Linked DNA regions of Saccharomyces cerevisiae S288C. The gene in region 3 interacts genetically with the main gene of each other region. Each region holds a gene or a part of one and is shown on either strand. Other genes may lie near its edges.

Region 1 (4,060 bases), on a different chromosome or scaffold from region 3:
CTAACTTTTGCCGAAATATTTCGTTGAAGGAAGGTTCTTATTTTATCAAAAAATGGTCAACAGACAAACAATAGAAAAACCAAAAGAAAACAAAAGCTTTTGAGGAAATCGGTAAAATGGATGATCTGCTAAAAGTTCCCGAGATTGTAACCAATATTGCCTCATATTTATCTACTGTAGATTATCTGAGTTTTCAACAAGTGAATAAACGGGTTTATGCAATCATTAACGGCAAAAATGATTCAAAGTATTGGTCATTGAAATTGACTAGAATGGGTCTCCAACAGGTGCATTCAAATGAAGAAGAAGAAATTACGTTGCTGGATGAAAATGATAATCAAAATTCCCTTCGCATCTTCGAAATATACAAATCTTTCACTGCTCAAAATTCTAAAAAAATCTTTGTGAAATTTTACCGTTGTTATAACTCATACGCTAGGAAGCTATATAATAATAATCTAGCAAATTTCTTTCCTACTTCATATTCCAACGATCCGTTGAAACAAACAAGAATTCTAAATTTTATCAAAAAGTACAATTTCTCGAATAAAAATGATATAGAAACATTTACTAGGATTGAAACTAATTTCAACATTCTTAGGGAAATCTTCATTAATTCTGTTCTCAAAGAGTCAGAATTGAATTACCAGTCTAATAATTTAGCTGCCGTCGCTCGTTTCATGAAAATTTTATTGATATCTAATGAGGAAAGCAATGCTATCGAATTTTTCAAGTCAAAGGCTGATTTGCCTCCCAGTTTAACGGTTTTGCCGTCTAATGATGAATTATTTTGGGCCGAACAACCAAGGGAAGAGGACAGCGGTGGGAGTACCGTGATATTTAATTCTAAAAATTTAGATACGTTTCTCAATCAGCTAAGGGATTTCCTCAACGAAAAGATTAAATTAGCGGACATTTTATTCAAAGATGAGTTCCCTGTAATATTACAGTTCATCGAGTCCTTTATCCAAGATATTTTATTAGATATTTTAAACAATATCTTATTAAGCTATAGTGAATTTTTAAAAGAAAATGGAAAGGATAGTAAAGCCAATTATGAATGCGTACCCGAACTTTATTTCACATTTATAAAAAAGTTTGATACTGAATTAAACGACTCAGTAAACGCAGGCGCAAATTTCCGTAAAGTTGTTCGTGACCTTTTAAACCTGTATCTCGAGCCCTTTGTTGTCAACTATATGAATCAGACAACTAGAGTATTTGAATCATTGATCAACTCACAATTAGCTAATTATGACACACAAGTTCAAGACAAGCAGCGTGAGCAAAACGCAAAAATTTATAACACTTTAAAAGATCAAACGGATGCTTCGAGTGCAAGTAACAATGAATTGCCGAATGACCTCTCAATAATTACTGAAACCTCCAAAACTGTCCCAGAAGCGGATTCAAAACCAAGTACGATCCATCAATCAGTTCATTCAACTGATATTTCTAATGATAAACTAGACTTTCTAAGTTCCTTCACCAAGATTTTCAAGTTCTCGAACAATGAAAATCAAAGGCTAAAGCAACAACTACAACTAGCCTACAACTTAAATTTAATTTCCAATAACTTGCAAAACATTAAATCGTTAATAAGTCTCGATTTATGTTACAAAATTTTACAGGAAACAAGCGAAAAGACGGATCAAATTTACAAATTTCATACGATTGAAAGTTTGCTACCATTGATCAAGCTACGCTGTCAAGAGATTTTCAAAATTTTAATTACACAATTGAATAAAAATCACGTTAAACCTGCATTTGAAAAGGCAATCCTGCTACTACAAAAATATAATCCTAACGAAATAGAACAAATAGAAATAAAATTCAATTCACTTTCGCCAGCCAATACTCAAGTCGAACCTTTAGTACAATTCACTGAACTTATCAATATAGGTGACATAATATTACAAATGATTTCCATTTTTTACAAGAACGAATTGATTCCCAAAAAAATTATCGATAAAAATAAAGATTTTCTTAATGATGTTATCCAATTAAAAAAAAATTTTGAGACTTCTATCGATGATTTTGTAGCCGAAGGTTTAAATATCGGTATAAACAAACTAATGGATGAAATCTCATTTGTATTCAAGACTCTTCAATTGCCTGACGATTATAATCCACCGCCACCCTCTAGGAATTCTCCAATAAGGGATATAAAGCCAACCAAATGTGCTATCAGGGTAGTCGAGTTACTTTCTAATCATTGCTTTCTACTGACTGGTGCCACAGACAAGGGTACTATTGACGTGTACCAACAAGAAATTGGCGAGAGATTCTTTAATGAAATCGTCAAACATCTGAAGAAGTGCTTCATATCTACGGAGGGCGCAATTTGGTTAATCTGCGATTTAAATTACTTTTACGATTTTATTGCTAACAAATTAAAACAAAAAAATGTTGTTCCCTATTTTGTTGGGCTTAAGTCTATTGGCCAGTTATACATCATTTCAGGCAAGGACTCGAAAGAGTTGGGAAAGCTTATTTCTGATCTTGGGAAATTCAATGGCATTTTTACGCAAGAGGAAATTTATGAATTTGTTCAGAGGAGAAGCGATTGGGTTCGTGTACGGAAAGACGTTGAAAAGGTAATGTACGGCCTAGGCATACGAGATTGCTGCATTATGTAAATTCCTATCAATGATTAATTATATTACTCTATATAGGTATGAAGTGCGGAAATAAAAGACTGTTCACATATTAGATTATTCAAGATTACGCGGGCTCTATTTTTCCCTGTTAGCCACACGCACACAAGGGGCATACAAATGTTCACTCCATTTATAAGAGGATTCCACACAAGATCATCGATAACATGGTTCAGTACGCTCCCTTTCTATTAGGAAAGTATGTTCATTCTTCATACGCTATTCTATTTTTTTTTTTTTCACACTTATTCTTTTACTAACGCATAGTTAACCATTTGCTGTTTCGAAGAGGCAACATCAAACAAGTCGATGTGCTCTTTCCCAAGCTGGTCTCTATTGCAGATTTTCTGATCCGTTATTGGCAATTATGGTAGGCTGTCTCAGCTACTATGTGTACGAAAGGAAAATGGGGCGTCCACAAGGTCATCATTTACACGAGCTCATAAAGAAGCGATGGGACGATCGCAAATAATAATCCGGCGTGAGGGGAGTATATATAAGTTTCTGGCGATATGTAAATACCATAATAATTAATCCTAGGATCTACCTTTATACGCATTTATCCTATAAAAACCCAATCTTTCAGATCCACAGTATTTTTATATGTGTGATTTCCTTGATTGTCTCAATTTAAAGAGTAATACATACAACTTAGACCAAAGAATTATTCAATAGATGACGCCGAAAGAATCTGGAAAGCCTATTTCGTGTGCAATGAAGAAGTTGAAAGGCAAGAGATCTAAGATTTTGGTTTTATCTAGAGATGCGGGCACCAACGAATTGAAGCCAACGAAAGGAAGAGCACATCGAGCTTGCATAGCTTGCAGAAAGAGGAAAGTACGATGTAGTGGTAATATACCATGTAGACTTTGCCAGACTAATAGTTACGAATGCAAATATGATCGCCCCCCACGGAACTCATCGGTATTTGATAGGGAAGTAAGCGATGATAGTTCCTTATATGCACAGAGAGCTTCCCACGAACGGGAAGATAGCAAGGGCCCTATAAGTTCCATTGATTACAAAAAGGTTGTAGAGACGATCTTTCCACCTGAAACACTCCGTCAAATACTTGCTTCTTCTTCTTTTAACAGCCAGAATTTTTTGGACACTATTAAAACGTGTCTACTTCAAGGACAATTAAATGTTAATCAGGTAATACGTCAAAGTCTACCAAAAGATACGCCTTGGCACATGCAAACAAGTGTTCCATTACCACCCAGAGAGATTGCCTTGAAATTTATTCAAAAGACCTGGGATTGTGCCTGTGTGCTATTTAGGTTCTATCACAGACCTACTATCATTTCTATCTTGGACTCGATATACGAAGCAGAAAAACATGGCAAGCAATATACTCCAGAACAAGTGAAAACACAACCTTTAATTTATTCTGTTTTAGCAGT
Region 2 (4,410 bases), on a different chromosome or scaffold from region 3:
ATCGCAGGTGACAAATTTAATAGTTGTGGTAGCATTGCCAAATGTTCTTCAAATATTGAACGCGATGACAGGCGAGTTAATAAAGACAGTGTTGAAAACCGAGAAGTTTCCCGAATTTTTGAAGGTATCGCAGGATAAAATCATTATGGGAAGCGGTAACGTTTTGAATTATTTAAAGTTTGTTTCAAGTGATTCAAAGAAACATCACCATTCCACTAAAGGTAAAAACACAGTAAGCAATAAGTGGAATGAAACTTTGAACACGGAGCTGCAATATTATGATGAAGATGAAGACCTTAGAAGAAAAAGACAGTCAGAAATATCAAGATTGATCGATGCGTATGGTGGAGACCTTGAACTTTCAGGCGACACCGATGAAGAAAACGACATTCAGTTGAGAATTGCACTCTTAGAATCACAGGAGGCGCAAGCACGGAATCAAGCTGAAGCGGGGGAGCCTGTCGGAGATGATGAAGATGAGCAGTTAAGAAGGGCGCTGGAGGAATCTCAACTGATATATGAGACGCAAACGAATAGCTCTGCGAATCATGGTAATAATACGAATGATGAGATAGATGAAGATGATGAAGAGTTTCTCAGAGCCATCAGACAATCAAGAGTGGAGGACGAAAGGAGAAGACATCTTAGAAATCATACTACAGGTCGACGAAATGGGCCCTTGAGCGACGATAATTTTGCTACATATGGTGCAGCAGAGTCATCCGAACGAACCTCAACTGAGAACACTATCGGTAGTTCTGTTGGCGTTGATGCTAGTAATAATGTTGATGAAGACTTACAATTGGCCATTGCGTTGTCATTGAGTGAAATCAATTGAAAGTATGTACATTTGGAAGAGCATATGTTAAATATTTTATTTATAGATTTTTCGTTGTGAAATATTATTTTTTTTTTTTTGAAAAAAATGTCGGACTTTATTCCTCCTAATTATTAATAAAATACGAATATATATCTAAATATAATTAATGCTTATTTACATGAAAAATCATCAATCGTAAACAGTTGATTAAAAAACAAAAACTTTATCGGTTCCATTACCTTTGTGAAACCCATTACTCCACCCCAACTCCTTTGCATAATTCAAAACCATTTCATTCATTTTAGGTGGTCCGCAAATCAATAAACGATGGTCCTCCGCTTGTTTAGGTAGGTATCTTTTCATTTCCTCTAGAGTTACGTACCCAACATCACCGTTCCATTTACCGTTTGGCTTATGAATTACATAATGAACTTTAAAATGCGGGTACTCCTTAGCCATGTGGTCTAGTTGCGATTTCATGAGAATGTCATCCTCTGTTTCGTTTGCGTATATCAAAGAAATGTGTGTTAGGTCTTCTGGAGAGGGTATGATTTCTTGCAGCACTTGCAATACAGGGGTTATACCAGACCCCCCTGCGATTATACCCAACTCTGTTGCGGTGTCCTGATCATATTCCAGCTCACCTAACGGCCCTTTAAATTCAACATACTGGCGAATTTTTAATTTATCAAAATACTTAGAAACGACACCATGTTTATACGTCTTGACTACTAATTCCAAGTGACCCTCCGTATTAGGAACATTTACTGGCGTATAGTACCTCACTAATCGCTCACCATTTATTGTAACCCTTACTGCCAGGTGGTATCCCATGGGAATATGCAATCTTTCAAATGGGTACTTTAACTTGAAGCAGTACAGACTAGTATTACGAGAAATGCGGGTCTTCTTGGATAGCGGTAGCGCGACCCATTTATTTCTGTAAAGAGATTTATCAGTTCCAATCGAAATAAACGCTGTGGCATAAAGTACTACGAATTGCAGCAATGAAACGACCACGATTCTACCATTTTGCGTTTTCCAAAAGTAAAGAGGTGTAACCACACAATTCAGAAGCAATCCAGTACAAAATGGATAAAACGGATTTGTCGAAACAAAAGATATGCATGTCTCTACTATCGACATTGTTGCGAATGGTTGCTTTTTACAAAGAAAAAATGTGATATGAGTTAATACTAAACATACTTAAATCCTAGAGAGAAAAAAAGTACTGCAATATATACAGCACTCAAAATACATTTCTATCTGATTTCTAAAAACTTCCCTGTAGATGGATCTACGTTACGCCATGCCGATGTTTCGTTTTTGCTTATACGACCAATCATTACCGCGTTCGGCTTTTCCAAAAAAAAAAAACTATAGTAAGGATAATGAAAAGAAAAAAGGGTCCCATGATTACTAAAAAGCTCTAATTCAAAAAAAAAGTCTTTGATAGGCAGCTAGGAATAGTTATTAGAATGTACATGAACAGTCATCACACTGCTATATATATATATATATATATTCTTTTTTAGTAAAATATAGAGATTATTGAGACAAAAAGAGACTAGTCGGACAACTCACTAGGATCTATAATACCATTTATGATAGCCCACTGTTTGTTTGCCAAGAATACATTATCGGGATCTTGCTCCTTTCTTATTTTCCGGAACTTTTTCAAATCCTCGCCATACCATTCTTCAACCTTCAATGCCATCCCCCTCATTTCAAAGTCATCGTAATCAGTATCCTTTTTCACTGGTCCAGCAGCTAGAGTGGTTGAGCCTAGGAAGTTCTTGGCCCAATGTGGCTTACCTCCCGCTACCATCATAGTATTTTCAAAAAGGGTAAACCATTTATGAATTGGAGTATTACAGCCAAACGGCCTATAAATGGTAGCATTTATGTACAACGTCAACTGACTGTTGGTAACATTTTCCAACGGAGCAAATCTGCAATGGGATGGTGTGTTATCCAGGAATGGGCGGCACACATTGCCATAAACGGGACCGGGACTGGTGTTTGTTCTCTTGCTAGTATCCAAGGGTTCAGAAGGTAATGTAGTATTTGAGCAACGGACTTCCATAGGCACGTGGACATAAAATTCTTTGTTTATGGCAGCCTGCGCAATAGAATGATCCAATGAACGTAAGACTTCCAAACCATTATCCATAGGGCACCCCCATTCATCAACAAATTGTGAAAACAAACAGTCCATATTAAATCCGCTGATAGAATCGGTAACATTAACATCACCAGTAGAGCTCTTCTCCAATTTCCCGTATTGCCTGTTGAAAACGAACTTTTCCACAAATGGGGTTAATGGCGCATAGATTTTGGTAGAGATCCATAATAGAGTTTCGTAGAAAAATCTACCCAGCTTGGTACCCCACCATGACTTGGCTGGACCATTTTGGGCATCTGTAGTTTTGTTACCCCTCCATAGAACACATTTTCTAGTATAAGGGTACCACCAAACTCTGATAAATTCAGATGAAGTCCATAGGGTATCCCATTGCTTCAAAAGGTTTTCAAAAGTAATCACTTCTTGAGTGGATTTAATATTGAAGCCGGGAACAACCCTGATAGTAGCAGAGACAATGATACCAATTTTTCCAACTGAAAGTAAAGCAGCTTTAAAGACTTCTGGATCGTTTTCAGCATCCAAGAACTTCAATTCGCCCTTACCATTAACAATAGTCAAGTTTACGTATTGAGAAGAAATCAAACCGTGATAAGGTGAGGAACCATGACTACCAGTAGAGATTATGCCAGCAACACTTTGTTCTGAGATAGAGCCTAAATTTTGGATAGAGTAACCTTTCGCACCCAAAAATTCATTCAATTGGTAAAGCCTCATACCGGCATCAACTGTGACATCGGCATAATGTAACTCAGGATATTCAACAAACTTTTGTACTTTGTCCAATCTGTCTAAGTTAACAAGCCATTCATCAGTAACGCACATGTTACTAGGAGAATGGCCCGAACCAACAGTAACTAAGCTTTTTTCAGCTAGCCTGGCACTCTTTACTAACTCGACAACCTCATCAATTGAACTTGGTTGGAAGTAACGTTCTGGTTTTGCAGAATAAATTCCGGCCCAGTTTTTGAACACATAGTTCTTTCTAAATGGGATAGTAGACATGGGGTGAAAAACCTGATAATATCGGTAACTTTAATTTTACGGGTTCTTGTTTTACCTTCTAATGAATTTTAAGTTTTGAAAAGCAGAAAATCAGATATTGAAACTATAGATCTGCTTACCTTGAAGTTCACTATTTTTGGAATTCTCCTTGCTAATAGTTACTTCTACTCTTGCTTTGTCCTGGATATCAATGGAAGATGTCCTCATTTCCATTTTTTTTTTCAATTCGACGGCAAGGCGGGAGAAAAGGAACTAGGGATACAAAAATGCAATTACTAATGAAATCCGTGAAATAATCATGGAAATGGGTGATGTAAGAATCTGATGAAACAAGTACAAATGTCTTTGGCCCATCAACTACGATGAGACTTACTAAGCTTTCATCAAATGCAGGTTAGAGAAGGAGAATGGTTTTTTTTTTTATTTTTTGTACATAGATATT
Region 3 (3,757 bases):
TTTGAACCGTACCCGCAGCAGCCCGATACTGTTTGGAACCAAAATCAACTCTTCCAATATATTGTTCGAAGCGCTTTATTTTCTCCAGTTTCACTTCGTCAGACTGTTACAGAGGCGTTAACAACGTTCTCTAGACAGTTTCTAAGAGATTTTCTTCAGGGTCTTTCTGATGCAGAACAGGTTACCAAATTGTATGCTAAAGCGTCCAAAATTGGGGATGTTCTTAAAGTAAGTGAGCAGATGCTCTTCGCCCTAAGGACCATATCTGATGTACGAATGGAGGGATTGGACTCCGAAAGTATTATTTATGATCTAGCTTATACCTTCCTGTTGAAGAGTCTTCTTCCTACGATAAGAAGGTGCTTAGTCTTTATCAAAGTGCTACACGAATTAGTGAAAGATTCTGAAAATGAAACGCTGGTCATCAACGGTCATGAGGTTGAAGAAGAACTGGAATTCGAAGATACCGCCGAGTTTGTCAATAAGGCATTGAAAATGATTACTGAAAAAGAATCCTTAGTCGATCTTTTGACAACGCAGGAGTCCATTGTATCGCATCCATATTTGGAGAACATCCCATATGAATATTGTGGGATTATAAAACTGATAGATTTATCAAAATATTTGAATACTTACGTTACCCAATCTAAGGAAATCAAGCTACGTGAAGAGCGTTCTCAGCATATGAAGAATGCGGATAATCGATTAGATTTCAAAATATGTTTGACATGTGGTGTCAAAGTGCATTTAAGAGCGGACCGCCATGAAATGACCAAGCATTTGAATAAAAATTGTTTTAAACCATTTGGCGCCTTCCTGATGCCCAATTCAAGTGAAGTTTGTCTCCATTTGACACAGCCTCCTTCTAATATTTTTATATCTGCACCATATCTAAATTCGCATGGTGAAGTTGGTAGAAATGCCATGAGAAGAGGTGATTTAACCACCTTGAATTTGAAAAGATATGAGCACTTAAACAGATTATGGATTAACAATGAAATTCCAGGTTATATTAGTAGAGTAATGGGTGACGAATTTCGAGTGACTATACTTTCCAATGGTTTCTTGTTTGCATTTAATAGAGAACCAAGGCCAAGAAGAATACCTCCAACAGATGAAGATGATGAAGATATGGAAGAGGGAGAAGACGGGTTTTTTACGGAGGGAAATGACGAAATGGATGTTGATGATGAAACTGGACAGGCCGCCAACTTATTTGGGGTTGGCGCAGAAGGTATTGCTGGTGGCGGAGTACGTGATTTTTTCCAATTCTTCGAAAACTTTAGGAACACTCTACAACCGCAGGGAAATGGCGATGATGATGCACCTCAGAATCCCCCACCAATATTGCAGTTCTTAGGACCTCAATTTGATGGAGCTACTATCATAAGAAATACAAATCCAAGAAACCTCGATGAGGATGACTCTGATGATAATGATGACTCTGATGAGCGAGAGATTTGGTAGATTCAAGCCCTCTACTATGTTTTATAGTTGACATATTTGTATATAAAAACTTATACATTATTAAACATTTGCGCGTCGATTGACTTTTATTTATTATTAACAAAGAAGTAATACCAACCTAATTACAAATACTTCGAAGTGACTATCATAAGTTTCCTTATCTAGCGAAGGCAACTTTTGAACTCCCCAGTTGTTAATATGTATCATTATACACGACCCAATCAAACGCGGGGAAGTCAATGCCGAAAGAATTCTAGGACCTAAAAGCTGCTCAATCCTTGGGCCTTTCCCTAATGACATCCCCTCTCAAACTTTAGCTTAGCAGTTGTATTTAATGTCCTGTCACGGATAGTCAATAATCGTTGAAGGTTGATTTTCATATCCTTCGCAATTTCGTAAAGCAACAATAGCAATACGGACTAAAATGGTATGTTGGTGTGTGTGTGTGCTGCTTCACATTTCAGGCTAAAAATGTTATCCGTGGAATCTTCCTTAGCCAAGTATCATGGGCTTTGGAAATTAGTTTCCCACCGATGAGCGCAACGACTTAGCGAAGCTTATGAAATTGGTGACAGCAGCTCTATGAATATGTTCCATGCGTTTCCATTCAGGTTACTAACAATGCATAAATTATGAGTAGTCTTTTTCATCACTATATAAAACCTTTTTCAAACGAAACGCTGTTTTTGTTGGTACTATCTTTGCAGGTGCCTTTGTTTTCCAAACTGTATTTGATACTGCTATTACTTCATGGTACGAGAATCACAACAAAGGAAAATTATGGAAAGATGTCAAGGCTCGAATAGCTGCAGGCGATGGAGACGACGATGATGAGTAAACGCTGATTATGTCACACATATACGTGCAAACGCTCTCTCTCTCTCTCAAGCTATATAAGTGGCACTCGTCTTATTTATTATTTTTTTATTTTGGCTGGTTGTTCATGTTCAACCCAACCTCATAAAGGCACTCAACTTCATATTTTGACACAAATCTATGTCTCGCCAAAGCGCATTCAAATTTCAGAATGGAAATAGACACGAACGAGCCTGTCTGTCAGATGTTCACAAAATCCTTATTATAATTTTATATTCTACTAAAGGAAAAAGAGAATTAGGAAAAAGAATAACTCATTTTATGTATATACATATATTTTGTACATATCTATACCAAGCAAGTATAGTGCAATACTGTTCTTCGACGTTATTAAACGTAATAGCATTTTCTTGGTATCCTTTGAATCTTATATACAAGTACGAGTACATACTGCGCAGTAAATTGATCCTGATGGTGTGTTTAGATTTCGCCAGAAGCGGAGGCGTTCTGGATTCTGGAGATGTAAGCCTTTGATATGACATTCCAACTTCTCATATATTTAGCCAAACACTGGTCAATGCACGCATCGTTTCTGGTAGCGTATGGCGAAGTTAAGCATTTTTCAAAGCAGTTCTCAGAAATTTTGTTCACTAATTCAGTCGCATTAGCCACAGCCAGTTCTTGAGCAATTTGGTTTTTCAGCTCCTTGGCTATAGGGTTTGGGGTTGTCTTTGCAGTAGTGGCTGCTTCCTTTTGTTGTGATGGTGCACCGCCGCCAAAGATAGATGATAGACCCATTTTCTTGATTAAATAAGCTCAAACTGTTGTTGGAGAGAAAAGATTGATTGGTTTGAACTGACAGATATCCTACTTGAATCCTCTTTTTGTCGATTTTATAAATCTTAGGACCTAGGATTTTTTTACTCTTCGGCAACGCCAGGAAAACTAAGATACACCGGAAACAAGAGGAAGGAGATCAAGAATTAGCGTTGGCTAGTAATGTGACTAAAGGGGAAAGACATTGCTCTTTATTCGCTTATATTTTATTTGTTGTATTGATATGATCTCTTTCTGAATCTGTAGCGACCTGTCAAATCGTCAAGGGTATGGTTTAATGAGGAAGTGAAACCATAGCGCTAGCGCCAGTTCCAGGTTTGATACATAGCAAATCTATCATATGTACTCATAAATGCCATTTCAGAACTCATTTAGCAGTTTTGTTTTAGCTTGAACGTTATCAGAATTCTTGCGGGTAATACACCGGTGCAAAGTCCATTATCGACGGGAGAGATAACAGATGCAGGCTCCAAGAAAAGTGGTCATGGCTTTTATCACCAGGACAAACTAGCAAGGACAAACATTTTATTCGGATGATTGGATTTAACGGCTGGGCGAGTGGGTGATACCGCGGTGTTACCATCCTCTCGGTTACAACGTCACGTCTTTTTCTGTTTAACCCTTTTGTACTAACAAG
Region 4 (4,335 bases), on a different chromosome or scaffold from region 3:
TGTCTCAGAGACGTTTCCTCTTAGGGTCAAATCAAGAGGAATGGCAATCGCAACAGCTGCAAACTGGATGTGGGGTTTCCTGATTAGTTTCTTTACCCCATTCATTACCGGGGCAATCAACTTTTACTACGGTTATGTATTCTTAGGCTGTCTGGTTTTTGCATACTTTTATGTCTTTTTCTTTGTCCCAGAAACAAAAGGCCTGACGCTGGAGGAGGTGAATACTATGTGGCTGGAAGGTGTGCCAGCATGGAAATCAGCCTCATGGGTGCCACCAGAAAGAAGAACCGCAGATTACGATGCTGACGCCATAGACCATGACGATAGACCAATCTACAAGAGGTTCTTTTCCAGCTAATCTTCCGGTTTTTAGTAACTGGAAAAAAATACATGAACTTAATTATTTATTATATACAATATTTACTTTTTTACGCCTTAATCCTTAACGGACTATTTGTTATGCCTTATAGAACTAGAAATTATATGATAAACATGAGCTACACGAGTTGACAGGGTGAACAGATTACTATAGCATCTTTCTCTCATGAATAATTTTTAAAATGTATAAATTTTGTAACGTTCCGAAGGGTGGAGTGAAATTCCATTCAAGAAACCAAGCATTGAGACAGAACAGTACAGAGTTCAGTTGTTGCGGACCGAGAATTGTAACAAGTAGCCCCAGAAACATTCATATGACGTCTGTTTCAAATTAAGCTTAGTAAAAGTACACATTTACCATAAAAAAATAGTACCAAGTCGGTGGCCTGATATCCTTATTTTCCTTCTGCCAATTGGGCAAGTTGGTACTAATATTTTAGGTGACACTGCCACTTTATTGTTATGGATTGAAATTTCTTAAATGTTCTCACAATCGGCCATAACGCTATTTCTCCGACGTAACCTCCTGTCATAGTGTGCCGTGCCTGAATAACTTAAAAAATTAAAGTTTTCAATGTGCCCAAAAAAATTCACAAATAGTACGCGCTCGTTAAACACCCTGTGACGCTGGGCCAGGCACTATTTAGCATTACTTCGAAAAGACGCAAGTATAAAGAGTGAGATCTCACGTACTACAACAAGAACATAGAGAAGCATTCTAATAAGCATATAAACAAGGCTTCTAGAGAAAAATGGGCGTATTAGAAAATATAGTACCTGGTGAGCTTTATGATGCGAACTATGATCCAGATCTTTTGAAAATTAGAAAAGAGACTAAAATAAAATTGCACGAATACAACACCCTTAGCCCCGCTGATGAGAATAAAAAGAGCCAGGTAATAAGAGAATTACTTGGTAGTTGCACTGATAACTTTATAATTGAACCGCCGTTTTACTGTGATTACGGAAGTAACATCTATATCGGAGACAACTTTTACGCCAATCACAATCTTGTTATATTGGATGGGGCCAAGGTAGTCATCGGTGACAACGTATTTATCGCCCCTAATGTTGGTATTTATACGGCAGGTCATCCAATTGACGTGGAAAGACGGCTTCAAGGATTAGAATATGCCATGCCTGTGACCATTGGAGACAATGTATGGATTGGAGGTGGAGTGTCAATAATTCCTGGAGTAAATATAGGTAAAAACTCCGTGATTGCCGCCGGTAGTGTTGTGATTCGTGACATACCAGAAAATGTAGTGGCAGCAGGTAATCCTTGTAAGGTGATAAGAAAGATCACTGAAAAAGATAGTACAACTACAAACTATCGAAAATGATGGATCCACTTTCTGGAGGAATTATCGAAAGCAAGTGTTGTCTTCTATGATTATGTACCGTATTTTCTTATAAGAATAAATAAAAAGCTAGTTCAGTTTTAGTCGACTAAATACGCAGAGAGATTATTAATTATTGGTATATGTTCTGGTTTAAGTTGCTCATTCTCAACTCGACTGTGTATAGTAGCTTCTTTCTGGTATAATCTATCTTCGAGGAGAAAATTATAGTTTACAACTTATGTAAAACTGCTCAAGTTCCAACCGTATAGAAAACGCGTGGCTGGTAGCTTTATGTTCGGATTTGAGAAATTTTCGGGGAAATAAGTACCGTTCTAATTTTTCAGCGCAAATTAACATGCGGAGAAACTTTAAACTGAAAATATGGCCACCTGCATGCGTCCATATGAAAGGGTCATCAAATAGCCTCGAACAAAACAAGTAACATTTTCGATGGAGTTAGAAAGGGATGATCCTATACGCACAGATTTCCTAGGTATTTAACCTGACCTAATATTAACAAAAGTCCAAGTGACGGCTTCTCCATCAAACAAGATAAATTACCAAACACAATGGTCGAATCTAAGAATACTGAATTATCGCAAGGAACATGGCTCAATAAGCCAAAATCTGTTTTTCAAGAGGCAGGAAAAGTCACTCTGGAAACAGATGAAAAAACTGACTTTTGGCGTGAAACATTTTACGGATTTACCCGTGATAGCGGTCATTTTTTGGGAGTAGAGACAGGTAGTGCTTTTACTGCACAAGTCCGTGTTCAGGGAAGCTACGAGAGTCTTTATGATCAGGCTGGTATCATGGTTCGTATAGATGATGGACATTGGCTCAAAGCTGGCATAGAAATTTCTGATGGCCACGCAATGCTAAGCAGTGTTTTGACAAATGGAAAATCAGATTGGTCAACTGCTGTTTATGGCGGAAATGCTCGCGATTTCTGGCTTCGTGTTACTGTTGAAAAGGGCGTTTTGAGGATTCAGGTGTCCTCTGATAAAAAAACATGGCCGTTAGTACGTTTGGCTCCATTTCCAACTTCTGACCATTACCTTGTTGGACCAATGGCTTGCACACCTGAGCGTGGCGGATTGAAAGTTACTTTCTCGGAATGGAGTCTCACAGCTCCTTTAGGAAAAGCTTTACATGATTTGAGTTAGTTCACCTATATATCAATATATAAAGAGGGGTTTGCTTTTGTTAAGAACAAGGCCTGCACCTCACTAAGATCTGTTGATTTGGCACTATGCTTTTTAAAATTTTGTTTATACTCAATTTCGTCAAGATTTTTTTTACTAGTACAATCCATACAGTTAACAAAATACTGGGCAATAAGGCGTGCATACTACGAAATTTTTAGTTTTGTTATAATAAACGACTTTTAGCTAGTGTTTTAAGATAAAGTGACGAAAGTTAGGGTGAGAATAGTCGAATGTATTTACTAATTATTGAATTCGTGGTAATTAGTACTTATGATGATGGGGTTTAAAGGGCTAAATTTAGACAATAGAAACAGTAATAATGATGTTTTCTATTTTTCTGCTGTACGTTGCTTTTTATTTTATATTTCTTCGGAAAAAGGTTCAGTGAATTTTCTGTCTTCTATATACATATATAAATTGCAATTGAAAATAGCGTACAGCGTAAGTTAAGTATCCAATGCTCACATATGAAAAGCAAAAGTAAAAAGAAATATACAAGTTTATTATTCATAAATATCGGCATAACTATTTGTTTCGAAAGATCAGTACGTTTATGTTAAATGTGCTCGTTACTTCAACAAGTAAAGTCTTCCTTCCCATGGCTGCAAGGTGCGGGAATCACCATTTGAGTTTGCATAGTTGCCAAAAAACATGGTGTAGGAGGCCTCATTATCAGGAACTGAAAAGTCCGTATTATCGCTACTGAAATTGAAAACAGCAAACATTTTTTTGTTATCTGTGTCCTTTGTAAACATGAATAGCTTGTCATTATCAAGATCAATGAACTGAAAGTTATGTCCATAAACAAGGATATCTTTGTGCTCCTTTCTAACTTGTAAGGCCTTTTTCCAGAAAAAGAAGACTGAGTTTTTATCTTTTAACTCAGCTTCTGCGTTGATTCCGTCTCTAAATGATTCATTCATGTCAATCCATGGTTTGGCATCCTTCGAGAAACCTGCAGAAGGCTCATCAGCACTCCATGGGAATGGTGTTCTCCCATGATCTCTAGAGATCAAAGCTAATGCTTCAAAAAACTTTTTCATCTTTTCAGAATCTTCACCATAATCACGTTTAATGGCGGCATATGTACCAGTACCTTCAACGCATTTGATTTGCTCAATTTTTCTGTTTTTGAAGTTGGGCATACCCAATTCTTGTCCTTGGTAGATAAAAACAGTACCAGTCAATGAAATGATGAGAGTAGCCAACATCTTGGACGAAATCTCACGCCATTTAGGAGAATCTGAGCCAAAACGCGAAACGCTACGAGGTTGATCATGATTCTCCAAATAGATGGTCGACCAGCAATCTGTGTTTTCGATAAACAGAAAGCTTTCAGCAAGAGCCAGCTTAAAGTCTTTTAAAGTAAAGGGAATAAGTTCGTACTTGCATTTTGGGTTTTCACC

What was found.
Region 1: mutations in QCR9 (region 3) and NCE101 together harm fitness more than expected from each alone (negative genetic interaction), as found in Saccharomyces cerevisiae (2 studies listed by BioGRID).
Region 2: mutations in QCR9 (region 3) and AIM33 together harm fitness more than expected from each alone (negative genetic interaction), as found in Saccharomyces cerevisiae (2 studies listed by BioGRID).
Region 4: mutations in QCR9 (region 3) and REE1 together harm fitness more than expected from each alone (negative genetic interaction), as found in Saccharomyces cerevisiae (2 studies listed by BioGRID).

Annotation. Positions count from the first base shown.
Region 1 is NC_001142.9:49,208-53,267, reverse strand, and holds NCE101 (Nce101p), read left to right. Parts: upstream 1-2,824; coding exon 2,825-2,856; intron 2,857-2,999; coding exon 3,000-3,129; downstream 3,130-4,060. Other genes in the region: RCY1 (Rcy1p), read left to right, coding at 117-2,639; YJL206C (uncharacterized protein), read left to right, coding at 3,333-4,060. UniProt on the Saccharomyces cerevisiae protein: Involved in a novel pathway of export of proteins that lack a cleavable signal sequence. May be part of the export machinery or may also be a substrate for non-classical export.
Region 2 is NC_001145.3:93,404-97,813, forward strand, and holds AIM33 (cytochrome-b5 reductase), read right to left. Parts: upstream 1,967-4,410; coding exon 1,028-1,966; downstream 1-1,027. Other genes in the region: SCF ubiquitin ligase complex subunit UFO1, read left to right, coding at 1-838; ALO1 (D-arabinono-1,4-lactone oxidase), read right to left, coding at 2,388-3,968.
Region 3 is NC_001139.9:857,611-861,367, reverse strand, and holds QCR9 (ubiquinol--cytochrome-c reductase subunit 9), read left to right. Parts: upstream 1-1,891; coding exon 1,892-1,894; intron 1,895-2,107; coding exon 2,108-2,305; downstream 2,306-3,757. Other genes in the region: E3 ubiquitin-protein ligase UBR1, read left to right, coding at 1-1,467; protein translocase subunit TIM13, read right to left, coding at 2,764-3,081. UniProt on the Saccharomyces cerevisiae protein: Component of the ubiquinol-cytochrome c oxidoreductase, a multisubunit transmembrane complex that is part of the mitochondrial electron transport chain which drives oxidative phosphorylation.
Region 4 is NC_001142.9:20,843-25,177, forward strand, and holds REE1 (Ree1p), read left to right. Parts: upstream 1-2,290; coding exon 2,291-2,887; downstream 2,888-4,335. Other genes in the region: hexose transporter HXT9, read left to right, coding at 1-358; YJL218W (acetyltransferase), read left to right, coding at 1,131-1,721; oligo-1,6-glucosidase IMA5, read right to left, coding at 3,499-4,335. UniProt on the Saccharomyces cerevisiae protein: Functions in the galactose metabolic pathway via the GAL83 protein and that it may control the level of ENO1.